4 linked regions of the Medicago truncatula genome follow. Each later gene encodes a partner of the first gene's protein in a complex. Links are inferred from orthologs where the notes say so. Each region holds a gene or a part of one and is shown in the gene's direction. Other genes may lie near its edges.

The links.
Region 2: potassium channel AKT1 (region 1) and calcineurin B-like protein 3 share a complex: the UniProt entries of both Arabidopsis thaliana proteins name them as parts of the K(+)-channel calcium-sensing kinase/phosphatase complex. The link is inferred for Medicago truncatula from reciprocal best matches to the Arabidopsis thaliana genes KT1 and CBL3.
Region 3: potassium channel AKT1 (region 1) and CBL-interacting serine/threonine-protein kinase 23 share a complex: the UniProt entries of both Arabidopsis thaliana proteins name them as parts of the K(+)-channel calcium-sensing kinase/phosphatase complex. The link is inferred for Medicago truncatula from reciprocal best matches to the Arabidopsis thaliana genes KT1 and CIPK23.
Region 4: potassium channel AKT1 (region 1) and CBL-interacting serine/threonine-protein kinase 6 share a complex: the UniProt entries of both Arabidopsis thaliana proteins name them as parts of the K(+)-channel calcium-sensing kinase/phosphatase complex. The link is inferred for Medicago truncatula from reciprocal best matches to the Arabidopsis thaliana genes KT1 and SIP3.

Annotation. Positions count from the first base shown.
Region 1 is NC_053045.1:54,795,709-54,803,947, reverse strand, and holds the start of potassium channel AKT1, read left to right. Parts: upstream 1-4,868; 5' UTR 4,869-5,015; coding exon 5,016-5,179; intron 5,180-7,044; coding exon 7,045-7,410; intron 7,411-7,658; coding exon 7,659-7,716; intron 7,717-7,811; coding exon 7,812-8,129; intron 8,130-8,207; coding exon 8,208-8,239. UniProt on the Arabidopsis thaliana protein: Highly selective inward-rectifying potassium channel that mediate potassium uptake by plant roots in response to low K(+) conditions, by a calcium-, CBL-, and CIPK-dependent pathway. Positively regulated by phosphorylation by CIPK23.
Region 2 is NC_053044.1:27,320,544-27,328,453, forward strand, and holds the start of calcineurin B-like protein 3, read left to right. Parts: upstream 1-4,736; 5' UTR 4,737-4,921; intron 4,922-5,883; exon of another isoform or gene 5,884-5,929; intron 5,930-6,012; 5' UTR 6,013-6,043; coding exon 6,044-6,167; intron 6,168-6,500; coding exon 6,501-6,583; intron 6,584-6,771; coding exon 6,772-6,831; intron 6,832-7,577; coding exon 7,578-7,686; intron 7,687-7,910. Other genes in the region: uncharacterized protein, read right to left, coding at 674-758. UniProt on the Arabidopsis thaliana protein: Acts as a calcium sensor. CBL proteins interact with CIPK serine-threonine protein kinases. Binds calcium ions. Binding of a CBL protein to the regulatory NAF domain of a CIPK protein lead to the activation of the kinase in a calcium-dependent manner.
Region 3 is NC_053043.1:21,923,663-21,932,147, reverse strand, and holds the start of CBL-interacting serine/threonine-protein kinase 23, read left to right. Parts: upstream 1-4,937; 5' UTR 4,938-5,351; coding exon 5,352-5,552; intron 5,553-7,824; coding exon 7,825-7,887; intron 7,888-8,022; coding exon 8,023-8,094; intron 8,095-8,207; coding exon 8,208-8,315; intron 8,316-8,485. UniProt on the Arabidopsis thaliana protein: CIPK serine-threonine protein kinases interact with CBL proteins. Binding of a CBL protein to the regulatory NAF domain of CIPK protein leads to activation of the kinase in a calcium-dependent manner.
Region 4 is NC_053045.1:62,829,727-62,837,649, forward strand, and holds CBL-interacting serine/threonine-protein kinase 6, read left to right. Parts: upstream 1-5,463; 5' UTR 5,464-5,774; coding exon 5,775-7,082; 3' UTR 7,083-7,289; downstream 7,290-7,923. UniProt on the Arabidopsis thaliana protein: CIPK serine-threonine protein kinases interact with CBL proteins. Binding of a CBL protein to the regulatory NAF domain of CIPK protein lead to the activation of the kinase in a calcium-dependent manner.

The DNA of each region.
Region 1 (8,239 bases):
TCTACCCAATTTATGCAGGAAATGTCAAGCAAGGACCAAAAGAAGGAAGCTCCTGAACCAAGTTACGTTCATTTAAGTGAACTTTGGTTCGCTTAAGCGAACAAGTTCCAGAAAGCAACCAGTTTGTTCGCTTACAAGCACGCCTTCAGTTCGCTCATAGAAAAGTTCAATTCGCTTAAGCAACCTATTGTTCGCTTAAGCGAACAAGTTCCAAAGAGCAACCAGTCTGTTCGCTTACAAGCACACCTTCAGTTCGCTCATGAGAAAAGTTCAGTTCGTTTAAGCGACCTATTGTTCGCTTAAGCGAACAAGTTCCAGAGAGCTCCAAAATGGTTCGCTTCCTGTACGCTTACAGTTCGCTTGAGCCAAGTTCATCAAATTTCAGAAGATAAGGACCACGTGGCAACTCCTCAATGGACAATGGAAGATTCCCTAGATGTTCGCTTAAGCGAATGTTGCTTTGCTTAAGCGAACGAGCACAAATATGGCCCATATAAATAGTTTTCTCTTCTCTTTCCAACTATTCTTTTACATTTTCTTTGATATTTTTCTGGTTTTTAGAGAGAGACTAGGGCTTTTCTAGAGATAGAAACACAAAGCAAGGTAGTTAGGAGTAGATTCAAGCCAAGATTTGTTGAGACATCATGAATCTTGTCATTGAATCTTCATTTCTTCCTCATCCTTTGCAAAGCTATCATAGACATATGTAGTTATATCTACTCTTGTGGTTTTGAGGTATTCAAACAAGCTATTATGTAATCTTTTGATAATTTAATATATGGTTCTAGCTATTTATTCAATATTGTTGTTATTCTTGCTTTTATTGTTTTATTGAGATTTGAAATGATATGGACACATACTTTTAAATCTAGAAATAGAATAACAATCTATCTTAAGTTATCCCTCTAAACATTGATGTTAATATTTGATAATCACTTTTAATCTAGAACTTAATGCTTTTAGGTCAATTAATCGGTTGGGAAATCATCGATTAAACGATCCAATCAACTTTGTGATCGTTTAAATGTTTGGAAAATCGATGTTTAAACGATCCCTTAGAAATAACGATATCATTTGGACACGAATGATATTGTCGAGTGATTGTGATAATATCGTTTAAAAAGCTAGAATCCGTTAATCGATCGAGAGATTGTAGCTGTTACGCTTGATTGATGTCTCTGAGCGCAAGCGAAATAGTCCTATCTCTTCTCGTTTTACTTTTATGTCGAATAGGAAAATAGTTTTACACAACCAAACAATTTATACTCAAACACTTAATGTGATAAACATTATGAAAATACTTATGAAATACGCAACTCCTTACAAAAACGATCCTATTATACTCACATGTAAATAGTTTATCACATGTAAAAATCTTACATCACAAATACAAAGGTACTTTGTTCACCTCTATATAGATATCGCGAACTCTAACATTCCAATTTTCTAGAAGTAAGTTTTGAATCTTCCTAATCAAGCTCCTACCACCAACGCTTCCAACATCCTCCCTCCCCCCACTAAGACGACTCCTTACCATTCCTAATAGGTCCATATGTAGCTCCACGTAAAAATAAAATAAAAAAATCTCTAGCCCACACTAAGCACTCGTCATGCAATATTTTTTGCAAATCCTTCCGGCTATTTCCCATCCACATCCCTTATCACTCCACAACAATCATTGATCATATTCAATTTCTACGAAAGCACCATCGTTGTTGATGTATGTATGTCCAATCTATTTTCTCTCTAGTAATTGATAACAATGACTTGCAATTTCTACAAGACAGCTCATGCACTCGTCTTAGACCTCATGTAAATATTTACATGCTGCAGAGTTTTACAAGAGAGACAAACATATCTTCAAAACCAGGATCGAATTTGCTTTATGCCTCCATAAATAGATATGGTGGCAAGTGTTATCCTAATCAACTCTCTGCTCAACTTCTCCTTTAAAAAATACATTAATATTCAAATTATTGAAAACCCGCTCTTTAAACTGACTTACCTATAAATCCAACCTCCATTGAATAAGCACCAAGTGGTTCCAAACAAAGCTAGCCAAAGAACAATCATGAAACACATGTAAAACGTTCTCCTCAACTCCGACACAATTATCAAAATAAGTGGTATTTAAAACTCGGATCAAAATAAGTGGTTCAGAATCAAATTAATTTGAATATTAATGTAAAATATTGACCCATCATGACCTACGAAAATAAAACTTTAAATTTAAAATTAATTTAGTTCTTTTATTCCACACTGACTTTATTATTCTTATCAAGAGAGAGAATTTTAGGATCACATCAACCATGGTTGTAATAATCAGAATTTTTTAGTCTAAATAGAAATATACAAATCAAAATCATCTTCCTCTATAAAAAAAAAAAAAAAAAATCATATCTTCCTACTCTTGTTCTAATAATGTAAGGGCAAATGAATCACAATAATTACTAACATTCGAAAGTATTTCAGAAACTCTTTTATGGTTTTTAAATTAAAAAATTATTCTTAATGAAAATAAAATACTTTAATTTTCAATACACCGACAACACTAATCTTTATAATAACATACCATTTAATACACTTACCCTAGAAAAGAAAACCATTTAATACACTTAAATAGTGATATGATTACACTCATTAGCGTCTTCATTTATATATAATTTTGGCTAAAAAAGTCTAGACATAAATGGAGTACAGATTATCAATTCAATATTTTTTTTTATAAGTAGTGACCTAAAGTTTACTATGGCTCTGGATTTGGATTCTCTCCATAGACTTCACTCATTCAATATATATTTTTGACCAAATATGAATATATATTTTTTTAAGGGTTGAATTATCTTATATGTTAATCTTGAGTTTGATTTACTATTTATAAACAAATTAGATGTTTGATTTATTTTTTATAAACGAATTAGATAATGCAGCCCTCGAACAGGGTATATGATGAAATGGTGGATAAAACTTTATAAAAAAAACAAAAAAAAAAAAAATTGAAGGAAAAACTTTATAAAAAATTGTAATTATTGCCTTCGACCTTAAGACCTCGTCTCGAGTTTGATGTGTGTAGCAATTTATAATATTTTAAATTTAAATAATTAATGGCACCGTTGACTCATGAATCCCAATAAATAAAAAGCTGCACGAACGACCTAAGAGATGCCACTATTTTTTAAAATAAATAAGGACTCTATTTGAATAAGAATACGGTATAATTTTTTCTCAAATTTTTCAAAAAGAATTGAATGGATTTAGTTCTCTAATTTTTAAAAGAAACAAATTTCTCGGTCTATGAATAATGAGAGATAGAAATAAATTACACTTTTAGTTTCTTAACTTAATTTCAGGTAACAGTTTCGTCCTTTATCTTTTTTTCATTTCAATTTGATCCTTTTTGTCCATTTTCGTATACATTTTCAAGCTTCAAATCTAATATTCTTATGCAAACATAGACGAGGATCATAGATTTGAAGACTGAAAGACCATAAGAAAATAAAATCAAACTTAATTATTATTATCTTTTTTTTAGGGAATTATCGTTCTTTGTCTAAAGAGAATAATTATTTTCTAAGGACCCGTGAATTTAATAACATTGTTAATGCATGCAATGACGAATTCGAACTTCAGTCACTACACTTATATGTTAAAGGTGAATTTCTAACCACTAAATGATTTGAAAAAATAATCCATAAAAATATAGATATGTGGATTCCCTGAGACCATCCTAGTATGCAAACCGGAAAGACTGTTAGATTTTGAGAGAAAGCGAAAAAAAATTCTCTAGGAGCGTACAAGATCCAAGTCCAAGAATAAAGGAGATATCAAATGATTTAAATCATTAAAAATAATATTTTTTTTAGGGGAAATTCTTTTTTCTGGTTACAATGCTAAAGAAAAAAGAAAAAAAATAGAAAATAAACAATTACAAACTACTCTTCAGGAATGAAAGTCCCAACTGCATTCATCTTTAGGGAATATAAGAGACCATTCAAAGGGGTGGCATGGTGAACCAAATCATGATATGAGGAGGCTCCAAACTTGACCAAAAAATTTGTGCATTGATTTCCCATCCTGAGAGTGTGACAAACAATAGTATTACTTTGTTCCATCAAATACTTCACGTCTTGAACCAACACGGCATAAACATGAAACCTGGGAGTTGGGCCTTTGAGGAGGTTAACACAAAAACGAGCTCTTCAATCCCCAATTTTATTTGCCAACAAGAGACCATGATAAATAACATATATTTGAACGTTCCGAAGGTGTACTGTTACTCTTGCTCAATAAATTTATAAATTAACGATCATTTTATGAAATAAAAAGTTAAAAAAGAGTAAATTTGATTTTGTTGAAGCTTTTGGTAAATAAGATATAATTATTATAAGGGAAATGCTAACTGGTGCCCCCGAGGCACTGGTTAAGGATATGAAAAATTAAAGAAAATTATACAGTAGTTAATGCATTGAAATTGTGTAATTAATTTATAATAAAGTCAAAAGCAGTTTCCTTTTATGGTATGCTTAACCAGTGCTCTGGGGGCACCGGTTAGCAGAACCTTTATTATAATTGTCAATGATAGAAAATAATTTTTTTCTTCAAAAGAAAACTCAATTAATTAATAGTTTTACAATTTGGTGTACCGGTACACTCAAATTTTTGAGTGTACCATTGAATTTGCCAATTTTTAAATATTTATTCAACATTGTTTTTAAATAATCAATTTATTATTACATATTTATATCATTATCTTTATTTCATTTTCCCCTTAAAAAAAGTTCTCTAATTCTTTTTTCTGTTAAGGTGTCTTTGAAATATTTCCAAATGCATTAATTGACTACTTTATGTTTCTATATAAAGACATTAGAAACTGTGTATGCCATACCATCACTCTCACACGCAGACATAAATATAGATTCAATTCAAGAACCGCCTAAACATGTCTATCAAAACCGTGTACTAACAACTACTGGAAAAAAAGATTCATACAAGGAACAAGTTACTAGAACATAAAAATGGTGCTTCCAATGACTATGTGTGGCCAAGAAGAACTTGAATTATCAAGAGATGGTAGTCACTATAGTCTCACAACCGGAATATTACCTTCTCTTGGTGCCAGAAGCAACCGGAGAGTTAAACTCAGACCCCTCATTATATCTCCCTATGATCGCCGTTACCGGTAATTCCTTCTCCGTTTATTCTTCTTTCAACGTTCTTGATAATCTTATTTGAAACGTGTCAGACAGTAAATATATGATTAACCAATTCTTGGTTGGAGGTGCCAACGCTTGTTGACTGTTCTCTTCTTTCTTAAGATTTCACTTTGTTTTTAAGAAACACAATAAATGATATTAACGTTTATAATTAGTCTTTATTAGTCTTGATTAGTCTTCAAATTTTCCAGTATTTCACATTATTTTTTTTATTTTTTTTCCTTTCTTGTGACAGAGTTGAAAGACATGACATTGATTTTTCTGTTGCTTTGTTTCTGACGGAAAATTGTTAGCTGTTAATGTTTCACTTCTTTCATTTTCTGTTTGTATTTGATGTTATTATTTTATTGAATTTTTTCTTCTTGGTCCTCTCTTTTATTCTATTTTTTGAAACCATTCAAGAAATTCCATCTTCACGGATTTCTCACATAGAAGGTTGTTTTATAAATAAATTAACAATATTTTTCTTTATTTTTACTATTTATTAATTACTCTCATTTGTATTCTCATGTTTGTATTCTTCGAAAATACATGCTCATATTTGTTTGTTTTGTTACCCTTTTGAAACATAAACCAACAATTTCTCTTCTTAATGATCCCCGCCGTATACTAAAACAGAAAAGAAATCTGTTTATCTTTCGTTTTCTTATACTAATCTTTTTAATTAACAATTTTATCACTCAATTTTCTCGAAATGTTCTTATTTTGAGATCTATCCAACTCATTTAAAAATTCGGTTTGTTTTGTTCTGTTTAATTTGGTTTTTTTTACTCTTCAAAGGAACATCCAAAAAGTTTACACGTGTTTTTAGTGATCCTATAAAGTTTGACTTTGTTTTCCTTGTATGGGAAACAACCAAGAAGTTGGTGGTGTTTTAATGATGGCTATGAGTTTGTAACGAAAGAAATTTGATGTTGGATTCTCAACTGAAATTCCTAAATTACCCGTTTTGTTCTTGCCTTTGTAACTGCTACTCTGTTTCGTGTAAAGAGTCATTTTCTATGTTTCTCTTATTATGTTCTCTCATGTCAATTTGTTAAAGTGCGGTTTGTGAGTGATTTGTCAACTGTGACTCTCATTGACTATAAGAATTTTTAAAATAATGACAACTTATGCACCTAATGATTTAAGGAGGTTTTAGATGAAAATATGATTTTTAAATGAGTAGTGATATTTTGACAACCATTTTGGTACAACCTTTGATACAACTTTGTTTTTTCATTGGTCAAAAACAATGGAGAGAGAAAAATGTAGAGATAGAATAAAAACATAATGTGAGTATGAGAGAGAAAGTTGTACAAAATGGTTGTACAAATATCATTTCTCTTTTTAAATTCACTTGTATGATTGCTTTTAATTCAACGTAATCAATTAGCAAAGTTTTTTAAAACTCCCCGTCCCAACAGCGGGGGCCCCATTTGGGGTCTCGCTGGCGGGAAGTTTTCCCCCACACGAATTGGATGGGGGAGAAAGTCCCACTAGGTGATTTGGGAAAATATTTATTGTTGTCGCAAAACTCGCAATAATGTCTTAATTTTAAATTTTTTATGATTAAAATTTAAATATTTTTTCTACCAATTTAATTGAATATTATATAAATTTGATTATTTTTAAATATTGATCATGGGGCGGAGACGGAGATTTAGGAGGAGAATACTCCCCAAGGCGGGGAATGGAGTTGATGAGCATTTTGGATGGCGGGAGTACTCCCGCCAGCACCCGTCTCATTGACATCCCTACTTCTCATCTTATTGAACATAAATAACTGCTGCATTTGAAATTTAGAGTTTTCTAAGACTATTAAGTAATTAAAACTTTTTGGCTTTTGCAGGATATGGGAAACTTTCCTTGTTACATTGGTTGTGTATACTGCATGGGTATCTCCATTTGAATTTGGATTCCTTAAGAAACCACAAAAACCCCTTTCTGTTACTGATAATATTGTCAATGGATTCTTTGCTATAGATATAGTTCTCACTTTCTTTGTGGCTTATATAGACAAAACTACCTATTTGTTCGTAGATAACCCGAAACAGATTGCTTGGAAATATGCAAAAACTTGGTTTGTACTTGATCTTATTTCCATCATTCCTTCTGAGCTTGTTGCACATATATCACCTGCTCCTATGCAAACCTATGGCCTATTCAACATGCTTAGGCTTTGGCGTCTTCGTAGAGTTAGCGCTATGTTTTCTCGGTAAGATTGAAACTTGATAGCTTTGGTGCATATGTTTGGATGAGCGATGAGATTGATAAAAAGCAGTGAGCCAGTCACAAATTTTCCACAAAAGCTACACTTTGTAGCTTTGCAAAATCACGGTGGCTCACTAGATTTTTCAATCTCGTTGCTCATCTTAACATGCATTTACTCCCATAAAATCATGTATATATTTTGTTTCCTTTTTGTGTAGTTTATGACCGTAAATGTTGTTTCTTTGATCCTAGGCTTGAGAAGGACAGAAACTATAACTATTTTTGGGTTCGGTGTGCAAAGCTTATTTGTGTAAGTTTTTGAATATATTGTGTTTGTAACCTTTTAAGAAGGAAGATAAATTAGATGTAAATGAGATGGACTAATAATCTGAATGATTTTCATAGGTTACTCTATTTGCTGTGCACTGTGCTGGATGCTTTTATTATCTTCTTGCCGCGCGTTATCATGATCCAGAAAAGACGTGGATTGGCGAATCAATGAAAGATTTCCTTCAGCAGTCCTTGTGGACAAGATATGTTACGACTATTTACTGGTCCATCACTACTTTAACAACAGTTGGTTATGGAGATTTGCATCCGGTGAATGAAAGAGAGATGATCTTTGTCATATTTTACATGCTCTTTAATCTAGGATTAACAGCATATCTGATTGGTAACATGACTAACTTAGTTGTCCATGGCACAAGTCGAACTAGAAAATTTGTAAGTACCAAGATATTTTTTAGTTAGGGATTTCGTGTTTTTAAAATCGTGACACTCATTGTTTGTGACAATTTTCAGAGGGATACCATACAAGCTGCATCAAGTTTTGC
Region 2 (7,910 bases), on another chromosome or scaffold:
ATAACTAAATATAAATATTGGAAAACTACAGATAATAAATGCAAATTAGAAGTCTTAGTGAAAGTCCAACACAAAACTGAAAATCATGGAAAGCATACATAAAACAAAATAAGATAAAAGCCACTCGCATATGCATATTATTTGATAAAAGCATTTCTTCACATTAAGGGCTTGGTTTGGATTGGCTTATTTGAGCTTATCTACCGGCATAAGTTTTGTGAGACTGGTTTGGAGAACTTATGAAAACAGCTTATGGTACTGTTCATACGCTGTTTTCAGCTTATTTTCACAAGTTCTCCAAGATAGCTTACAAAAACAAATTATAGCTTATGTGAAAAACAAATTCACTTTATTTTATCGTTTGCTATACGAAATGCTTAACATGATAAGTGTTTGTATTCTAAGCTGCAAATAAGTTGTTTATCCAAACGGAGCCTGACAAGTAACAATTTTACCTACTGGTCACATGAAGTGCAACTCAACCATTCATCAATGTATTTGATTATCGTTTTTTTTTTTTGTTGGTAAAATAACATAATTAATTGTGAACATAACTAAAAAAATGTAAGACAAGTTGATTCCCAGATATGAACGAAATTAGGGTTTCTGAATTCAAATCAATCCATAAAATGAAACAATTACGAATAAAACATATAGAGGGAGCAATATTCACCTGAGGGTTCCGCGAAAAGATCGAGTTTGACTCTGCGACCAGCGTTGGAATGAGCGGCACGACGACGCTCTTTTCGGTTCCCCATTCGATTCCGTGTACGAATTTCTGCACGATTGAAGAAGCCCTTTGATGCGAATTCTGTGGAAGAAACTACCAAGGAAAGGAAATTCGATTTTTAGGGTTTGCAATTTGCATTGTTTGATTTTTGAATCTCTGAAACGAAAATTGAAAACCCAAATCGGGTCGGGTCGGTTACGGATCTTATGAAGCTACGTGTCGGACTCTATCTTCAACATGTTCAAAAGCAAAGAGCCACCTGGATAGATTTAAAAAAGAATAAATAGTCAATTTTCCCCCCTGAAATTGTAAGTTTCATCAATTACTCCCTTGAAATTAACAAAACTTCAATTACCACCTGAAATTTCACAACGTTGGTCAATTTACCCCCTCCGTCAAATTTTTCTGTTAGTGAACATGACGTTTTGCAAATACCCCCCCTGAAGTTTTGCACTTATGTGCAAAATGTCCCCCAAACTTAAAATTTTATATTACTTTTTTCATAAAAACAAACAATTAATAGTTAAATATTAAAGCTAACTATTAATTTTGGAGTTTGGAAAAACTACATACATATATACATCAAAATAGGGAAAAATGTGTATTTTTAAAGTGACAATAATGGTTATTTCTAATAGACAAATTATTACTTTTAGAGGTTTATAAACAAATTAATAATCAGATTTAAATTTATATTTTCTCTTTCACCATCTTAGTCTTTTAACTCCTCCAACTCCTTCAACAATTTGCTCAAACCATTTAAACTACACAACCCCCAATATTAATCCACAAATCATCCCATTATTGTCACTTTAAAAAATACATATTTTCCCCCATTTTGGAGCCTATTTTGATGTATATATGCATGTAGTTTTCCCAAATTCCAAAATTAATAGTTAGTTTTAATATTTAAATATTAATTGTTTGTTTTTAAGAAAAAAATAATATAAATTTTTAAGTTTGGGGGGCATTTTGCACATAAGTGCAAAACTTCAGGGAGGGTATTTGCAAAACGTCATGTTCACTAACAGAAAAATTTGACGGAGGAGGTAAATTGACTAACGTTGTGAAATTTCAGGGGGTAATTGAAGTTTGGTTAATTTCAGGGGGGTAATTGATGAAACTTACAATTTCAGGGGAAAATTGACTATTTACTCATTTAAAAAATAGGTTTGTCTAACATGTGCAACATTGCACATCTTAAAACAACTAACAGTAGTAAATTTTTCTTAAAAAACAACAATTATTTATTCAAAAAATTTATATTACCTCCGTCCCTAATTATAAGACTCCTTTGAAAAAATAATGGGAATTAAGATAGTGGATATTTGTGTTAAATATGTTTGTAATTACTATTGTTTTTACAATTTTATCCTTTAAGAAAGAAGGTTGGCCTATGTTTTCAACATTTTATTTATTGCTGATTGAAGAAAAATATGTATAAATAGGGGCATGTATGTAAAGAAATAATTAATATAGTTGAAAATAGAAAACGGGTCTTATAAAACGGGACAAAAAAAATTCTCAAAAGGGTCTTATAATTAGGGACGGAGGTAGTATTTAATATTGAATGTACAAGTTCTAATACAAAGTTTCTATAAAACCCTTAAAAAATATAGGAAATACTAACATGTGCTGGCACGCACATCATTAACACGAACACTGTGTTTGGTAGAGGTGATTTATGAGAGAGAAGTAGGTGAGAGAGATACAAGAGAAATGTTGTATTTCTTAGTTTGGTTCAGCAAAGAATTAGAGAAGAGAGACACACAGACGTGGAAACCATTTCTTTTTGGAGTCTTCACAAAACTGAAGAGAAAGAGAGAAGAAAGACTTGTTTATTCTGTATCTTCCAAAATTACCCTTTGTTTTCTCCTCTTCCATTTGTTTAGTTTTTTTTTTTTTTTTTAACTAATTATGCCAGCACATGATATTACCGTATGAAAATAATAAGAAAGAAATATCAACACATGATGAATCCAACATACCGTAACATTTTTATTGAGACAAAAATAAGTTACTATTTTTTTTTACGAAAAAATAAGTGAGTTAATGTATACAACTTACAAGATACAAAATCATTACGTCAAAAATATATATAAAACTATTTTTTCTGGTAGTGACAAAACTATTGTAATAGTGGATTCAACGCAAACGTCATAAATTACATGTTTTTATTAAAGGATATTTTTGTCTTTTTAAAAAATTGTAGCATCTCTTTCTCTTCTATTTCTCTTATACCAAACAATCCATCAAATCTACTATATTTCTCTCTTCACATACTCTTTCTCACCTATTTCTCTCTTCTCACAACCAAACACACCCTAAGAGTTCAAAGTGGAATTTGTTATAATTTATTTTTGTAGATGATGAAAATTAATGTTTTATAATAAATATCTACTATTTATGAAATCTTTTTTCACGGTACTATTTATGAAATCTTTAATATGTACTCTAAGGGCACAATATTTTTTTTTGTGGTGTCCGAGATTCAAACCTCAGACATTATATATATTATGCATTATTCCTATCAATTAAGCTAAGCTCACATGTATCTAAGGGCGCAAGTTAGCATAACTCAAAAAATATTTAGTTTGTGGTAAAGTCAATTTCATTTATTTTATAGGGGGAGACTCAACTCAACATTTTATTTTACATGCATTTCTTTAAAGAATTGAGTGTGTTCACGATGGAGTTTGGATCAATTATCAAAATTTATCTAATCTAAATGTAATAAAAATTAAGGATTAAAATATACTTATGTTGTTTGATCGTTTTGATATATTTGATTTTGTGTGATTTCAATTTTTTTTTTATCAATATGCAGTTTTGACTTGAATTTGAACACCTCTATAAAAAACACTTGTGTGTGTTAAGAAACCTTCTCATATTTCTATGTCATCAACACCAACTACGTCCTTTTGTGATAAACTTATGGGTCCAATCAGAGCCTCAAGTATGATAAAAGGAAGATGTGTGTGTGTTAAGAAAACCTTCTAATATTTCTAAGTCATCAACACCAACTACATCCTTTCGTGATAAGCTTATGGGTTTCAATTAGAGCCCACAAGTACGATAAAAGGAAGCAGAGAGATGCACAATGTTGTTTAGCAACGACTCTATTCAACAGGTTATTTGCAAGATAAATTCTTCACAACTCCATATTCTTCAACATCTAAATCACTCACACATGCTTGTATATGTTTCTTTGTAGGTGAAATTTTTTAGTCAGAAGGAGCACCTTCATAACATGTCTTTACCGAGATGTGCTTTGAGAGGGAAAGTGTTGCTCGAATTTCTCAGCGAAATTCATATGTTCTTCTAGGTTATATGTGATATTTTGGCAAGTTCCTCCGTATGAGTTACTCAGACTTTGTTAATGCTTGATGCCCCATGCTTAGCCATGTTCCTATTGTTTTTTTTTACCATTCTACCCAAACAATTCACACTCACTTTATATGTTTATATACAATGTCCTAAAAATTGTCGTCATTTTAGTTATTTAAATATCACTTACTCCCTCCGTCCCAAATTGTATGTCACTTTAGAAAAAATATTTGTCCGAAATTATATGTCGCTTTACAATACCAATGAAAAATTAATGTTACTTTTCCTATTATATCCTTAACTATTTATTACTCTCTCTTCTTTCAATTCCTTCATTTATCTTTCTCATATCATTTATTGAGGATAATTTTTTAAAACAACTCATAATATCTCTTTCCCACACAATATTAATTACATTTCTTAATATACGTGAAATGCCCAAAACGTCATACAATTTAAGACGGAGGGAGTATCATTTACACGTAAGTTTTACTTGACAAAACATAAGTAAAATGATTTGGCATCATAAATACACCAAATCTTTCTTACACAATTGAATCAATAAATTACATTTATTTTTTTACAAACAATAAATTACATGATATCTCATTTAATTTAGAGGCACATTTATTGATCAAATGCTGAAAAATAACTTGATGGCCACCCTATAATTGAGGTGAAAGTTATGTGTGGGTTGTACTCTTTGTACTCTACCTGTCATCGACCATACCACAGTCTCATTCTCATCACCCTCCCCTGCACTTCCTCTGCTGTGAACCTTCAAAATCCCAACCATCCAAAACTCCATTTCCACCACTTTATACTTCTCTGTTTTCTGCTCATATCATCTCTACCTCCATCAAGGTTTGATTTTTATCCCTACCCACTTCACCTTATTGCTCATTAATCATTGATCATACTTCTGTGCATGTTTTTATCATGTTTTTTGATGCGGTGTTCTTTATTTTTCTCTAAATTTCCTTTCTTTTTTGTTTTTCTACATGTTGATTTTTTGCTTGTTTATATAGATCGGTGAATTCTTTATGTATGAGTTAAGGGGTATGTGAAAAGTGGATTATCTTGAATTTTGAATCATTTTGGATTGTGGATATTGAATTTTGAATTTGGTGTTGCGTTATGGATCCATGTCTATCAGCTATTATAGTGGCGTGGTTCATGATGAGAGTTGTGATTGTTGTGGTTTATAGGATTGAGTATTTATCAAGAATTTGAATTTTGATGTGATAACATAGCATTGCCCCGTGTTTTGGAATTTATTATGGATTGAAATGGAGTGGAATATAGCAAAATTATTATTCTATAGTTTATTTTTATTTTTATTCCTTTCAAACAATCCAAATTACATAACCTATTATAATTTCATTCCATCCCTTTCCACTAATTTAAATATAAGCCTTGATTCTAGTTGCCGCTGTTTTTGTGTATGGTTGTTTATGGAGTTCCTTATCAGTCAATTCCTTGAATATATGAAGGTTCCGTGTGGCAAAACTACGACAACCAAACATCCTGAATTAATATAAGGAGTGTTGATAGACGTGTATAAATAGTTTGGGGGTTCATTGAGTACAAATTTATGCTCACAATGTTATGTTTTTCGCAGAGAAAGGAAATGAGCAATGTACAATTCATGGCTTTTGAATGCTGATACTTTTAGTATGATGTAACAATTTCATGGTTAAAATATGGAACTTGTTATGCAGTTGTGTTTTCAATTTGTGTACTTTCTGCTGATATCAGAATGTGATGGTCTGACTGGCAGATATGTATTCCAATTTTGTTCTGATTTTATTTTTTAAATTTCACAGATCGTGCTATTTGGGATTGTCACCTGAAATTGGAAATGGTTAAAAGGTTTGCACTCAAGTGCCATCTTACGATGACTTAATGATAAATGAACTACATGGGAATATCTAACTGATTTATTCATGGAACAGTTATGGAGAATTCTGATTTGCAAGAGATACCATGTTGCAGTGCTTAGAGGGATTCAAGTCTCTACTTGCTTCTGTATTGCGTTGTTGTGACATTGATATAAATAACCAGTCAAGAGGCCTTGAAGATCCTGAACTTCTTGCAAGGGAGACAGTGTGTACGCTGTTAATGCTACTTTATTCTATTGATTCATTACTTGATACTATTTGCAAAACTAGATAACAAAAGAATTTTAATATGCCAACATCTGTGAAGTGTCTGATGATTGAGATTTGAGAATACTTGCTTCTGAAATACTGTATCATGCAATATTCCGTTGAATTTTAAGGTAAAGTAATTAACGTTGATGAACTAGAACAAAAAAGAAACGGCATAGAACATGTGATTATCTCTTTGTTTGCTGATTCTATCATCTTTCACACTATTGGTTTGGAAATGAGTATGTAATATTTGTACTAAAGATGACTGTTTATTTTGAATATGTATGCAGTCAGTGTTAGTGAAATAGAAGCACTGTATGAGCTCTTCAAAAAGATCAGCAGTGCTGTAATTGATGATGGGTTGATTAACAAGGTTTGTCCTCTTTTGTCATTGAACAACTTTTGTTTGGTTTGGCATATTATGTTGAAGTTGTATGCATTGTCTATACTTATATGATATGACAATTTTTCTTTTTATTTTATTGTTTTCCTTCTTTGAAAAGGTTTTAGTTTTAAAAAATCTATCCGATGTTATATTCAATTTTAGTGCTCATCTTGCAGGAAGAGTTTCAATTGGCATTGTTCAAGACGAATAAAAAAGAAAGTTTGTTTGCTGATCGGGTACTGCTTTCCCTTCTATTCTATCTGTTTTGTGCAAATATGTTTATCTCCGGGCTATTATGTTAGTTCTTATTTTGATTTATACTTGCTGAAGATATTTTTATCACAATGTTTTCTTTTCTATTTTATGGGAAATCCAAGAAAGCGTTAAATTTACTTTGCACACTGGTATATGGTGTGGACAACATAAATTGAATAGTTCATTGAACATGAGAATCAAGAAAATTTTGTTCAACTTTGTACCTCTGGTAAATGTTTGTAGGTGTAACTAAGAAGTTAGATAACATCATATAATAGGATTTCAAGTTAGTTAGTGTACCGGAAAAATTAGTGTAGTTTCACCATGTAAATTAAGGTGCTACAATCAGTTTTGTCAATTGCAGATCGCAGAAAGTAGTGGCTTGTTCAAATTCCCTATAGCACTGTTATAGCTGCTATTTGATAACATCTTGTAGTAAATCGTGTATCGCGGAATAGTAGCAGTTTGTTAAAATTCCGTTTCACTATAGCCGCTATTTGACAACACTGGCTACAGCATTTCCTTAATATACAGTGCTTACTATCCTGTTCATATGTTTTGTTTATCACATGTTCCCTTACACACATATTTTCAAGAAAAATCACTTTCCGGACCGGATTAATTATCGTTTCTACTTAATTTTTTGTTCCTTTGTTATGTTTAATGACCGATTCTTATTATTCCATGTGGTTGGTATCTCACTCGAGCTTTTCTCTAACTCTATTAGGTATTTGATTTATTTGATACAAAGCACAATGGGATACTAGGTTTTGAAGAGTTCGCTCGTGCCCTATCCGTTTTCCATCCAAATGCCCCTATTGATGATAAGATTGAATGTATGTTGTATATTTTTCTTTTATTATTTTAGGCTGAATTCTCAGTAATTCAGCTTCTAAATTTTAAGAAAGCACATTTAGAGTAAATTCTTTAATGAGAAAAGGGGATATGCGCCGTCAGTGTAAACTAGTTTTGCACTGGCATCCAATCAGAATCCAGCACTATGCGGTAATTTTTAAATTGCAGTTACAAAATGAGATTATGTGGCAATATCATGAGATTT
Region 3 (8,485 bases), on another chromosome or scaffold:
GCCCCCGCATTTTAAGATGTTTGGGGCGCATAGTATATGCTTGAGGCGCATATTGCCTCTTAGAAATGCTTAAGGCGCATTCTTGATTCCCCAGGTGCATTGTAATGCAATTCCATGCCCTAGGCGCATTTGATTGTGCTTTCGGGCCCAGTTTCTTCGATCTTCGTCGTTTTTATGTCTTCGTCTTGAAATAATTTGACTCGGAACTTGGAAACAAAATTCCTTCCTATGTAAGGTCTCCTGAGGCCTCTTGAATCTTCATTCTTTGTCTTCCCAAGGTCTTGACAATTCTTCAGTTGTTCTTCATTTGCATGATTTCTTCGTGAATTACTTAAAAAAACCCCTAAAATTGCAAAGATTTGGGAAAGAATGTGATTTGCATGTCTTGAATCTTCATTGGTTAGCCTTGAATACATCTTGTGCTTGGGATTAGCCTCTATTATTAATATATGCTTTGATCTATTTATGTTGAAAATAAGGACAATACTTGGAGATAAAGACGAATGGATGCAAATAACTGTGTTCAATTTTGAAATGGTAATTTCTTGGATGATCAGTCAAGCAATTAATTGAATATATTTTGGGATAAACTGTGTCAAGAGCTCTGCATATACTATTCATGAATGTCCTACCTTGCCATGCCTTCACAGTCATACTAATGTTTCTTTCATCTTGACTGATTATATTTTTCATCTTATTGTTTTTTTTTTATTTGATTCATATTCAAAATGCTCTGCCATGCCTTGACACTCATACATGCAGAAAATGAAGTACTGTTGATGTTAATGTGTGAATCTGCAATTATGTTTCTTATATCATGGTGAACATTGTAGCAAAAAAGTAAGCAAGATTTGTTCAGCAGCTACAAATGTTAATGACAGCAAGGAATCTTTGACAGATCCCATTCTCCTATGTTTTACTTTCAAAAAGCACATGATTTACTTTTTAATGTATATGGCTTTTAAAACTCGACCAATCATTTTACCACTGCTTTGAACTCTAAATTAATTCAGGCTTCTTATTTGATAATATCATATGTGGAATTTTCCTAGAAACATTTTCCCTCAGTATATTTCAGGTTGTACATTTTATTTATATTGCATCATAAATCTAAATTGTAGTTAGTTTTGACAATTTCTAATATAGTCCTTTAATGTTGCGATTTATCTAATTTTTCATTGTTAGATGTATTCTACATTGAAGTATACGGTTTCAGTGTGATATTGTTGGTTGATTTAATATTTATTTATCTAATTTAGCTTTTGCACTCTTGATATTTCAGAATAGTTTTGATTTTTACTCATTTGGTGATTGTTAGATTAGATTCACAAATCACATGATGTATATACAGCTTAGTGAAGTCTATCTAGGTTGAAGATTCGGCCGTGTTTGTGCTATGAAATTTCTTTACAATTTATATATATATAACTATAAGACATATACAACCATTGCTTGGCTAAATATTTCACTATATTTCTAAACATAAATAATAATGACTATCGTGCTGTGTTGTTTTTTTTCTTTCTCAACATTCGTGCCTTAAATGTAAGTAATATAGTTTTCATTAGGGAACATTTATCTATATAAATTGAGTATTTATCTTTGATCTTATTCTTCAATTTTTGAGAAGAATGATAATATAACTTTCTTTCAATTTTCCGTGAGCAACTATATCTGATTTCATCACTCTTATGCAGCACCAGTAAAAAATGTTAAGCCGATAGGCATTGATGTCTGATGAATTCCATTTTGCTTTCTATTTTCTAATCCGTTTGAAAGGTTAAGTAGAACCCTAATGCCTTTAAGGTGAATATAAGGAAATTTTTATCTAAATATTGTATCTTTTTTATAAAAAAATTGTGATACACCGAACAATTAGACTCACGTGGTTAATGAGTGGCAACAAATGACGAATTGTTCAGATGAATTTGAGTTCGATTTTTGGGTGAAATTTTTTTGTCTGGACTTTCACCAAAAAAAATTACTGGTCAGACTTTTATCTACCTTCCGACTGAACTCCAAATTATCCGGTCTCATTTCCCTTAAAAATCAGAGGTTAACACAAAACAAAAATATTTGGTGATATTTTTAAATAGACATGTGCGTCCTAAAATTAATCATCCGTGTGCAATACTTCTTTCCTGCATATTTTTCCCTTAATTTGCTCATTTGAAGTCTACTATCTATATATAATTTTTGGTTTATAATATTCACGGAAGATTGGGTTATTTGGAGATCAAGGATATTGATATTATAGCATATGCTTGCAAGTTGCAACTATGTTAGGAAAGGAAAATGCTAAACCTTATGTGCACTAACTAATATAGTAGAGTGTTCCTATGCATGTCACACAAGATGCATCTCAAACGAGCTTATAAGCTATAAGCTATAAGCTCGTTTGATGGCTTTACCAAATAGACCCTAAGTAAAGTAGTTCTCATACGGTCCAATCACACCATTTTATTAGAAAAACTAATTCAACAACCTTGAAATGTATTTTCGTATGCATAATGGATGTAGCAGCATTGAGACTTATTTCCCACCACATTTAGAATACTAATGTGCTAAATTTATTGGCTTTTCACAAGTTACTTCAAATTTTAGATATTTTGTTATAAAGGAATAATCATACTTAGAAATAAAGAGTTCAAATTGTTGCATTTAGCATTGTGCTCACACTTGATATTTCTATATAGGCTGGTATAGTGGAAGACTTGGACGAATTGGTAAAGGAGTTTGGAGCTGCTAATGACGAAGAGAAGAAGGCCATGTTTGCCCGAATTGAAGAGCAAGTTGAGAAGGTCAAGGGTTCAGCTTCTAGGTAGTGTAACAAGATATTGGGATGATGGGGTTGTCCAATCTAGCCTCTTTTGAACATGATGAGTTTTCTTAGGCCTTAAAGAGAAAGAATGTGTCTTGAAAAGTGATAAATGAATTGCATAAGCAGATCCAAACATATTAGTTTACTTTCAAAATGAGTAAATTACTCTACATTCACTTTTGGAATAAGTTAAATTAGTAAACATTGATGTAGTATAAAGAAATTTTATACTCCCTCCGTCTCAAATTGAATGTCGCTTTGGAAAAAAAATTTGTCCCAAATTATATATCGCTTTACAATACCAATGAAATATTAATGTTATTTTTCCTATTATATCCTTAACTATTAATTACTTCATCTTCTTTCAATTATTTCATTTATCTTTTCCATACCATTTATTAAAGATAATTTTGTAAAACAACTCATAATTTCTCTTCCCCACACAATATTAATTACATTTCTTAATACGTGTGAAATGGCCAAAACGTCATACAATTTGGAACGGAGGGAGTATTTAAGAGTGGTGTTTCTATTGTAGATGCTCATCAGTTTCTATTGTAGGGATGCCATTTCTTTTGTTTCCTTTTGACTGATGTAAATTTTGGCAAAGTTCCCTTTTTGGTTAGTCTCTTTTTGATAAATCTTCACTTATTATGTAGGCTTAATTACACTTTTGGTCCTCGTGTTTTGGCCTACTCACGAAATTGGTCTTGCCCTTTTAAAACAGAACAAAACGGTCCTTCAATTATCATTTTTGTTGCATTTTTCGTCCTACCTCCTATTTTCAAACTCTAGAAATGCAGAGAAATGACAGTTTTAGGCGGTTTTAGACCTTCCCCTATGCTCAACCATGAAATCAACAAGGAATAAAACATGTGGGCACAAGGAATCTATTCTATTCAGCACACTAACAAAAAAAAAAAAACCATAATTTGAAACATATCTTAGAAATTAGGGTTTTTTTGGTTAGTGTGTTGAATAAAGTGAATTCTTTGTACCCACATGCTTTATTCCTTGTTTATTTCATAGTTGAGCATAGAGGTTAGGTCTAAAACTATCATTTCTTTGCGTTTTTGGAGAATAAAATGGGGGGTAGGACGAAAAATGCAACAAAAATGATAATTGAAGGACCGTTTTGTTCTGTTTTAAAAGGGCATGACCAGTTTCGTGAGTAGGCCAAAACACGAGGACCAAAAGTGTAATTAAGCCTATTATGTAATGACATATCGTTGGTCCCTTCATTGGTTCCAATTAAAAACATGCTAATTATAATGTTGTTTTCCTAATTAGGATATGCTCTTCTAATGCATCAAAGCTTTGTAATTAAAAGGTAGGAAATTTGTAGAAATATGTAGTTATTTTCCATAATTTGTTCATTTTTCCTTTTGTACAATTGTTTTACAAGATACGTTATTCAACCCGTGCTGAAGCACGGGTTTGTAAGTAGTTCCTCTAAAAAGAATAGGTATAATTTTATTTTTTTTAAGAAAAAATCAATGACCCATGTGTTTTGTTTTGTCTTGCTTTTCATTTGGACTGGTTTTGTTTGCTGGATTCAATGGTCCGCATCTTGGTATAAGACATTGGTAAGACTTTCATTGGCGGAATGATATTTTCTTTGTTGAAGAATGGGTGGATTGATATTATAAATACTTATATTTTATTTTATTGTAGAAAAAAAAAACATATATTTTAATATCAAAAAAATAAAAATAAAAATATTAATATATTTGTCATGGGAATACGTGTTCTATAATATAGTAGTAAAAAAATACACCTTCCGCTCACTAATATAAGCAAAAATCTAATTTTTTAGATACATTCAGTTAATGATGTATGTGGTCTTTATTATATGTTATATACATCATTAATTGAATATATTTAAAAAATATATTTTTGCTTATATTAGTGACCGGAGGATCTACTACAATTTTATAATTTCAATGCAACCTAAGACAAAATCCAAATCCAACTGCATTAAATTGAAAAGATAAAAATCCAAATCCAATGGCATATTCGATTTTGACAATTATGACACATGTGACCTTGCTAGATGAGCCTTCCTCACATAAACCTCTTATTCATTTCATTCATTCATTTCATTGACCATTCTCTCTTCTTCTTCTTCTTCTTTCAAAACCATCAAAATCTTAGTATTATTTCTCTCTCTCTCAATTCCTTCCCCTTGTTTTGTGTTTTTATTCCACACAGCTGAAACATCATCATGATTTTCTCTTTTGATCCAACGGTCAACGATCAACCACCGACCATTTACCTCAATCACAAACGTTAAATCTTTTAGATTCTTCCATTTCTGATTCCTTTGTTTGGTTGGATAGAGAAGAAACAACAAAAAAGGAAAGAAAGAAGAAAAAATGAGACTCCCAAAATCTCAAGTGTGGCAACCTTGTAAGAAGAAGAGGCTCTAATATATAATCATATAATCATATAATCATAGTGAAATAGTTTGAATATAGAGAGAAAAAGGAAGGAAAGAAAAGGAAAGAAAAAAGAGAGAGAGAAAAAAAAGATGACGTCACGTTCGTCGCATATCAGCGGAGGAAGCAGCAACGGCGGACGAGCGAAGGCGGGAAAGTATGAGCTGGGTAGGACGTTAGGTGAAGGTAATTTCGCGAAGGTGAAGTTTGCGAGACACATTGAAACTGGTGATCATGTTGCTATCAAGATACTTGATAAAGAGAAAATTCTCAAGCATAAAATGATTCGTCAGGTTAATTCTTTGTTTTAATTGTTAAATCAATTATTTGTTTTTATATCTTAGCTTTCTGGGTTATTATGTTATAGATACGAAGTTTCTACTGTTGTTGTGTAAGCGTTGACTAATCTTCGTTTAGAGATGTTAATTGATCATTTACCACTGTTTATTAACTTATCTTTTTGTTTAGTTTTTAAGCTGGTGTTGGGGTTTGACTATTAATTTACTTATTTTAATGGAATTATTAATTTAATTTTGTGTGTTTTTGGTTTGATTTTTTTATTTCTTGGCTGGTAAGAAAAGATGTTGTAGAACAAACTTAGTACTTGTTTGGTTGCATGTTTGATAATCGAATATATACGTTTGCAGTGATATCAATGCAAAGTTGCCGTGATTTTTAGAATCTAGAAAATAGAGCTTCTGAAAATATTGTCGAGGTTTTGAGCTAACGGGAAAATTTGCTGCAGAACCAAATAGAGGCTTAATAGATACTCCCTCCGATCATATTTATAAGAAAAACAACTTTTTAAATTCATTGAATTAGCCATCCTTGGTTGTGGCTCTTAAATGGGTTCCTACCGATGATAATTTGTTCTTTTCCGGTTTGACTACTGGAGCAAGTTCATCTGTGGATGTCAACTGAAAGAACTGTTCTTCCACAAGAACCATGATCTTATTCATTGGAAAGTTAATAAATAAAAAATAAATGTAAATATGAAAATGAATTGATTAAGTGTGGAATACTAGGGTTGACCAAGATAGAGTTGAGATTCGAACACGGATCATCATTGGAGACACTAAAGAGTTTGACTTCTTTTTTTGTTTTCTTAGTTTTGGTGTCAAGTTCTGTTAGTGTTATGTGTAGGGAATGTTATTATCTGATTTTTCTCGTTGGAATAGTTTTCTGTCATTGAAATTTATGAGATTATCTCTGTTGAAACAATAATGCGTCTTGATTCTTGGGTAGATTACTGAAGAGAATTCAAAAGAATATCCGTATACGAAACTGACAAAGGTGATAACATTGTGCTCCAACCAAGAGACGTCATACACTGCTGATAGCCGCAAAAATGTTTCTTGTTTATACCTTTGTTCTTTATAAAACTTCAAAAAGGTTCTTCTTCTCATCAGTATCCTCGTTACTAGGCAAAAAAGAAACAGTTTACACTTTCTGACTTACGAGGCATGGAAATCATAAACATGTCAAGAATAATGAAATTGGACTTAGAGAAAGTGTGTTGGATTTTCAAACTTCCCATCAGAATTTAGCTTAAAAATATGAATAAAATTAGGGAAAAAGATGTTAGTTATTAAGACATTTCCCTAAACGTGTTGGATGTTACATCGAAACTCTCAGTTACTTGCTAGTGTCTCTGATAACTTAAACTTTGACAAAAGAAAAATCTAGAAGTTTGAATATTGCTGTGAAGGAAACAAAACTAATGGGTGCCATCATCATTCAATTAAAAGAAACTAGTGGGGTCTTCATGAAACATATCCATGACAGTACAAACCAGGGACGAACATGAATAACCGAAGTCTGTTTTGCCATTTCATTAACCATAAAAGGGCAACCCGGTGCACTAAAGCTCCCGCATACGCAGGGTCCGGGAAAAGGCTTAGTGGGAAAAGGCTTGGGTGTTGTTGTTGTTGTATACACAGGGTCCGGGAAGGGGTCCCACCATTTGGTGTATTGTACGCAGCCTTACCCTGTTTTTACACGAGGCTGTTTCCAGGACTTGAACCCGTGACCTCCCAGTCACATGACAACAACTTTACCAGTTGGGCCAAGGTTACCCCTCATTAACCATAACCTTATTTATTTATCTCATCATTCTGACCAAAGCAAAAGTGGTCTATGCTTCTGGGATGGTTCTTTTCACTTTTCCACCTCAGTCGCCATTTATTATGAGGTGCTGATTAATCATATAAAGTATTTGTTTGATTGATTATATCTCATATAATTATTTGTAAGACATTTCTTAATATTATTAATTAATTACTTGCTTTCTAATTATTTTATGTGTTGGCAACAGTTAAACATGGCAGCTATTCGAGTTTAAACTGTGTTTTGTGTGGTATTGAGAAAACGTTTAGTAGTCTATAGTTTTGAAGTTACATTTCAATGAAACATTGTTGTTGAAATCCTCCTCGCGTAGGCATGGTTTGCTTGACCGTAATAAATCTTAGTATGAACAACTTCTGCTAAATTTTGGGGTTTATTTTGTTTTTCTGAAGCATAAATACTCTAGTCTTTGCTGATATTCTGTTGTTCACTGTTATGCAGATAAAACAAGAAATATCAACAATGAAACTGATTAGACACCCAAATGTCATACGCATGCATGAGGTTAGTAGGCAGTAAATGATTGCTTCCATGTATTTTACATTTGTGTGGTTTGCTTCTATTCTCATATTTTCCCAGTTTATTCTTTCAGTTTTTCTAACTGCTCTCTGTATTGTAAACTACAAATTCCTTGTGTAGGTAATAGCTAACAGGTCAAAGATATTCATTGTAATGGAACTCGTGACTGGTGGGGAGCTGTTTGATAAAATTGTAAGGCGGTTTTTACCTTCGTGTGTGCTTTGAAGGCCTAAATTCCTTATATTAGTGTTGTCCTTCTATTACCTCTTATTTTGTTGATTTTTTCTGTTATTAAATTGAGACAGGCTCGCAGTGGGAGGTTGAAAGAAGATGAAGCAAGAAAATATTTTCAGCAGCTTATATGTGCTGTGGATTACTGTCACAGTAGAGGTGTTTGCCACAGAGACCTAAAGGTGTGTATTACTTTCTCCTTCACATTTTTCCTTTGCTTCCTTTTTTAAAGAGGAGATGGGGTGCTGGTGTTGGCTTCAAATTACATGTTTTAAAATAATTTCAGTAAAAAATTAATTTTTCCCCAGAAGGAATATGGCGAAATTACTTGAAGCCTACGCTTTTTTGAATC
Region 4 (7,923 bases), about 8.0 Mb from region 1:
AAATATTGTCAAAAAGAAAAAGGCAAGAGGATAGCAAAAAAAAGAGGCAAGAGGATATGAATGAAATTTGTGCGATCCATTTTTTTAATATTAAATCAGTGTACAAAATATTTCCTTAAATAAGAACGTGTACAAAAAAAAAGTATAAAATATAAGGCATCAAATGTGATCATTGTTATGCTCATAGTTTATAGAACAAACGTGCAACATCAAATAAGTGTAGAAAATATTTCCTTAAAAAAAAAAGGCAAGAGGATAGGAATGAAATTGGTGTGATGCATTTTTTTAGATTGAATTTGTTAGGTTAAATAACTGCAAACCTAATAAAGCAAATGAGCGGGAAAAAATTAGGTTAAATTGATGCAGACGTAACAAAATTAATAAATAAGGACATATATAGATGATATGCTAATAGTTTACATATAAATATGATATTATAATAAAATGCATCGCACCAATTTCATTTCTATCCTCTTGCCTTCAGTACTTTTTAACCTTTTTAATTTGGAACCCCTGTTGTATTAACATGATTTTGTTGAAGGTAAAAAATCTGCTACATATTATGAGGCAGAAGGCTACACATTCTAAATTGGCAGGATGAAAACTTTTTAAAATTTATGTACTAACATATTATATATTCTCTCGATAACAATGAGAACTTGAGGGATTTTTAGTTCTGACATTTTTTTTTTTTTTAAATCCATTAGACTAATAACTCTATCTAAAAATTTTGTGATGTTTCTTTCAAATCTAAAATTGTGTATGTGTAAAGGTATGTTGGGATGCATAGTATTTAATTTGGATCACATTTGATTGGTCAAATAATATTCTGAGATCACTTACTTCTCATTTGCCAGAGTTCATACATCAATGAGCTTCTTTTAATACTTCAGCTTAACCATATTGATCACTGCTTCTATTTGCTACTTCTGGTAATTTTTAAATCAGTGTAGTTTATTTGCTAATTATATTTGTTTCAAATCCCATTTTGATTAAGTATGTGTCGCGGTGACTGCATTTGTGTTTTTCAGTTGGCGTTCTTTGTGTTTAGTGGTCAAGTGTTTAGTGGTGATATAGAGCACAAACAAGATGGGATTGAATTCAACCAGGAGGGGACAGATGCTGATCAAGACAATGATGATGTTTCCTTGATTGAATTGTTCACACATGATTAAATAACTGAACATATTAGAAGTCTGAAAAAGCAATCTGTTCAGGTTAGTATTCCTCCTTCCTGAAAATTTATGTTGTGTTTTCAATTATCTTGATCTGTTTAGGCCTTGCCCCTTCTTCATCAAGTAATATGAATTGAGTTTTAAGATAGTTTTCTTTGACTACGATATTGTATCAAGAGAACATTGTTTGTCGATTTAATCCCATCTGAAAGAAAGAAGTGTCTCCATGGGATATCAAATCAATATACTACTTTATGTGATGACGATGATGTACATATCCTAATAAATATTGGGAGGTGGTCCTTTGGAGATGCTAATTTTATAAAAAATTATGTTTTTGTTTCAGGTAAAACTTATTCAGAAGACAATGGAATACAAAGCTGTCTGTGGTTAGTGAGACGAAAGCTTTAAGGTTGTGACTAGTGCGGTTTTCAGACAGCAGACTGTTGTGGTTCAACTGTGTTGGCAGTGGTGATGTGCTGCGGTTTGCTACCTATGGTTTTCCTTTTTTAGCTTTGGGAGGGACTGTTGTATGGGACTTTGGTTTTGTTAGGGACCTGTATGGAAATGCACTTATGCGTTTGTTGAAAAGCCTTGAATTGCACTATGAAATTGGAGGGGATTGGAAACACTACTGTACATTTCGGTGGTAATTAAACATCCAAAATCAATTTTAATTTAAAGTATCCAAACAACATCAACTTGAAATAATCACTTTTATATATCAATTCACATCAAACACACTTTTGACTAAAATCAATTATTTTAAACTCAATTATGTCAAAATCAATTATCGTCACCGCCGTACCAAACACACACAATGACTTTCACCACACAAAAAACAAAAAACAAATTGACTTTCACCACACAAAAAAAAAAAACAAATTGACTTTGAAGCATAACTTTCAAATAGTACATCCCTGTGTAATTTAAAACACCATAATTAAGGTTATTTTTTTCCCATACATGTTCTTGTTTTAAAAATGGCTGGCGGGAATGGAGAGTGGATTCTGAAAAAATAACCCCGATTGCCATTAAAAAAATATTTCAATTCCTTGTCTAATCTAATACTCCTAAATTTAATTAACTTATTTTATCTACATCTACAATATCATCATCATCATATAGTAAACCCACCAATGCTGTGATCAGCATGTCCTCAATTAGTGTGTATAAATTAGTATGAGAATAATGTTATAAAAAAATGTATGAGAAAAAACAATTGGTTATTTATTCTTTTGGTTTGATATTAATGTCTGTCAATTATTGTACATACCTTTCAATTTCATATTTAAATTCTTAATAGGTGTTGTAATAAAAATAAATAAATTATGAGTCCTGCTAACCGGTGCCCCGGGACACTGGTTAAGCATATCATAAGAGAGAATTATTATCCTAAAAGAAAATTGTTTTTGACTTTATTATAAATTAATTACACAATTTCAATACATTAACTACTATATAATTTCCTTTTTTATATCCTTAACCAGTGCCCCCGGAACACCAGTTAACATTTCCCATAAATTATTGGTAGGTGCATATCATCATATGATCAAAATCAGAAGTTTCTTAGCACGCGGGTCAGATGGTGACTTCCCAAAGACATTGCATCATTTGCAGGTGAGGTGAGGATATATATCAAATGAATGTTTTTGTGTTGAGTTGATGGACCATCGCATTGAATTAAAAACAATTACACGGATGAAATTGAAATAAAAATATGGTGAAATCAATTTATACAAATTTACCTTATATGCATAACAATAACATGTATTATACTCATGTACTTATTTATAGATGCATCAATAATTTAAAATTTCAACTTAATTATAAAACAAAAATATATAAAATCATTATAATAAAGTGTCATGCTCATCAAACAACATAAACTATCCCACCAAATCATAAAAACATCTAAAAAAACAAAAAATTGACAAGTTTCTAAAGTTCTTTTTTATGGAAAGTTTCTAAAGTTATTAAAGGTTAAAACAAATCAATAAAAAAATTCTTCCAAATTGGGTAAAACTAAAATAAATTAACTCGGGTTAAATTTATGTTTCACTCAAAATTGATTTGACAACCAATTAATCTAATCGAAAATTCACTCTTAAAACTGTAAAATTGGGCAATTTTACATTTTAACACGCAATTTTAACAACAATGATAGACATTGTATCTTCACTAAAAACCTCAAGATATTAGATTTATATGTCGTCTCACTTGTATGTTTAAAGGAGGAAAAAAAAATCATATACATTTAAAGTTTAAATAAAAAAAAAAATGGGACATGAAGATGATTATATATTTTTAGTTGACTATAATGATTGCGTCAAAAAAAGAAGAGACTATATATGAAGACGAGCAAACAGTTCACTTGAAATGCATTATTTCACATGGTGGCATCTCAATCCAGTCCAAATGCACATTCCATTACATGCTAAATGTATTAATTATTCCAAAATTTGTAGTTATAAGAGCCACACTAACTATTGATCAAGTAGGTAGCAAATCTCTGCATATCTACGAGATCAAGAAACAGTTTTATATTTCAGATGATTGAAAGAAATTATTATACACTTCTGATAAGTTTGCTTCAGCGATGAAAATGTAGGAAATGTGCGTCCATCAAGAAGCTGTAATTAGATTGTGTTTGGTTATGCAGTAATTAAAATTAGTTTGATAGAATCGAGTTAAAAAGAACTGATTTTGAATAAAAGTGAATAGAACTAAAGTAAATTTATGTTTAGATACATTCACATAAAATTGGTTTTTATCACAGGAGCAAGATCAAGACCGATCTCTTGCTGCCATAATTCTTTGGAGTTTGTGGAAGAGTAGTAATACCAAGCTTTGGGAGGCTACAAACACTTCACTGACCCTCATTGTCTCTTGTGCTTATGATGTGCTACACGAATGGAGCTGCATGCAACGAGCTAAGCATCCGGCAAGCCCCCAAGATCAGCAACGGACGTGGACCAAGCCACAGGCCGGCCACATCAAATGCAATGTTGACACGACCAATTTCCATAATAACTCTATTATGGCTTATGGTTTATGCTTTAGAGACTCAACATGATCTCTATTATTAATTAAATCTAACTACTTGCACTTATCTTCTGTCTTAGACGCGGAATCCCTTGGTCTTCTCCACTTTCTCAAAATGGCGATATCCAACGATTTGCATAATGTTATGTTTGAAACGGATAGCAAAACTTTGGTAGCTGCGCTTCAAGCTCTCAATGTTCCATGTAATAAATTTGATGACTTGGTATCTGAAATATGTAAGAGTCTCTTATCTAATAATTTCGACTATGTAGTATCGTTTATAAAGAGACAAACAAATATGATATCTTATTATATTGCTAGAACCATATTATCTCATCCTAATCTCATATCTTTCATGACATATCTTCTTCTACTTGATATCCCTTGATTATTAATGAAATGTAGCACCTCTTCTTTGATTTAAAAAAAGTGAGCAGCTCGCTTCAGAAGAGTCGGGTCCGTCTCGAGAGACCTACCTACCTGTTAGTTGTCGTTGCTAGCCAGTGACATAGTGCCACGAGCTATTACGTGATTGTCACAAATTTAAAAACCGATCATCCACTGTTTGTTTTAAATCTAATTGCTGGTTTGCAGTTGCAGCGAGCCCCACAGCCAGGCTCCACCATCGTTTACGTCATGTCAATGTCTCACTCAAACCTCCTACCTCAAACAAAATAACATTATTCATTATTCCATCTATCTAATCTATCCATTCTAGCAGTATTCATATACTAACCAACCAGTATTATTATATTATCAATCACTCACACACACACACACTGTCACACATAATAATTAACAAAACAAAATAGGTTTGTCTTCTTCTATGGCGAGCAGCACTGCACACCATTCATTCATTCATGAATCAATCATGATTCAAAGTATTTCTCTCGCGGTTTTGGTTTCCTTTCCTAATCAATCATGATTCTATGTCTTATTATTATCATTTATTTAATACTTCTGAATTAAGAAATGAGAATAAAGTATATCAATTAAATAAAAATGAAAACAAACAAACAAACAAACCAAAAGAAAAAGACTGATTCGGTTTAATTTCATCGTCGCATAAAAAAAAAAAAAAAACGGTTGAAGCGGTGAGAAGAAAAGACAAGAACAATGGTCCATACACGTGTCCACCATCACCTAATCTGTCTTTGAGAGAGAACCGTCAGATCACCAATCAATTGAGACAATGAAAACGAAAGCAGAGACCAACCAGCACCGCCGTATTATAAAACCAAACCTAATATAAGTCAGTAATAATATAGAATTATTGTCGAAACCAAACACAATTCTTCAACCCTTTCTTAACCAATTAAATCATTCTTCATCGTTTTCATAATTCTCTGTATCTGTCTGTCTACAGCGAAGGAATGCAGAGAGATGAGAGGCCATTGCTATCGGTTCTCTCCATCTGAAGTTGTAAGCATTCTTACAAAACGAATCATTGGCGGTAGACATTGCCACCGCAAACACGTTGAAGACGGTTGATCTATTCTCCATCTTCATCTCTTCTTCCTTCATATTTCTTCTATTACTTTGTAAATACTAACTATGTGTGAAAAGGAAAACCCTAACTCTCACTCGGCTCTGCTCGATGGAAAATACGAGCTTGGTCGAGTACTCGGTCACGGAACATTTGCTAAGGTTTACCACGCCAAGAATTTGAATACTGGAAAAAACGTAGCCATGAAAGTAGTTGGTAAAGAAAAAGTGATTAAAGTTGGAATGATTGAACAGATCAAAAGAGAAATCTCTGTCATGAAGATGGTCAAACACCCTAACATAGTTCAACTTCACGAAGTCATGGCTTCCAAATCAAAGATCTATATCGCCATGGAACTCGTTCGCGGTGGAGAGCTTTTCAACAAAATCGTCAAAGGTCGACTCAAAGAAGACGTTGCTAGAGTCTATTTCCAGCAGTTGATCTCAGCCGTTGATTTCTGTCACAGTCGCGGTGTTTACCACCGTGATCTCAAGCCGGAGAATCTCCTCCTCGACGAAGACGGTAATCTCAAAGTCTCTGATTTTGGTCTCTGTACTTTCTCTGAACATTTGAGACAAGATGGATTGTTGCATACCACATGTGGTACTCCGGCGTATGTTTCGCCGGAGGTTATCGCGAAGAAGGGTTACGACGGTGCTAAGGCTGATATTTGGTCTTGTGGTGTTATTCTTTACGTTCTTCTGGCTGGATTTTTACCGTTTCAGGATGATAATTTGGTTGCTATGTATAAGAAGATTTACCGCGGTGATTTCAAATGTCCACCGTGGTTTTCTTTGGAAGCTAGGAGGTTAATTACAAAGCTTCTAGATCCGAATCCGAATACAAGAATATCCATATCGAAGATAATGGATTCTAGTTGGTTTAAGAAACCGGTTCCAAAGAGTATAGCGATGAGGAAGAAGGAGAAAGAAGAGGAAGAAGATAAGGTGTTTGAATTTATGGAGTGTGAGAAATCATCGACGACAATGAATGCTTTTCATATAATTTCACTATCAGAAGGATTTGATTTGTCTCCGTTGTTTGAAGAGAAGAAGAGAGAAGAGAGGGAGGAGATGAGATTTGCAACGGGTGGGACGCCGAGTAGAGTGATATCGAAACTGGAACAAGTGGCGAAGGCGGTGAAATTTGATGTGAAGAGTAGTGATACGAAGGTGAGACTTCAAGGGCAAGAAAGAGGGAGGAAAGGAAAGTTGGCTATTGCAGCGGATATTTACGCGGTGACACCGTCGTTTCTGGTGGTGGAGGTGAAGAAAGATAAGGGTGATACTTTGGAGTATAATCAGTTCTGTAGCAAAGAGCTTCGTCCTGCTTTGAAAGATATTTTCTGGACTTCTGCTGACCCTCCAGCTGCTTGATGAATTTTTTCATCATTAATCATAATGTTTGTTTAATTTACTTATGTTATGTCTCATTCTTCTCTTTGTAATAATTCTTGTTTAGGAGGAGCTTCATGTGTTGTTTTAATTATGTATGTTTCTGCTTTTGTATCTTAATCGACTAAAAATTCCTTGTCTTGTTTGTGTGTGATATTAATTTTATGTATAATAATTGGTTTTTATTTTTGTTTGTTTTAGTAACATTTTGCTTCATCCGTCGTCTAGACTTGATATTATTGAGGAATTTGATTTACTTGCTTCAACCCGTGAGGGATTGCATCAACTTGCTAAAATATCATAATTTTGCTTCATCCATATACAATCAAGATTATGAGGAATGAATTATTGGTTTACACCACCACCATCCCAAATTCCCAACCCGTGAAGGATTGCCTCAACTTGCTGAATATCATATTTGAGAGGCTGCATTGAAGAGCACATGGATGGGACCAAACTCACTTTGAACATGTGCATGTCATTTTCTTCAACCATAAGTTTTGTGGTCTTGATGTTTTTGATTAAAAAAAAAATTAACTGTTTCTTTGATAACTTTTTAGTTCACAAATTTTATTACTCCATTTAAATGAATTATAAAAATATATATATATATTGAAAAAACATTAAAGAAAAACATCAATTTTTTATTTTTTTTTGAAAGAAGATAAACATCAATTATTGAAAGTCGAGAACTATACAATTATTGAACATAGTTGGTGAAGAAGAAAACATCAAAGAAAAACATTTGTGGTCACTGCATTATTTGGTACTCAGCTTTCACAGCTTTAATACTTGTATTTATGTGCTTTATATGTAGGTGAAG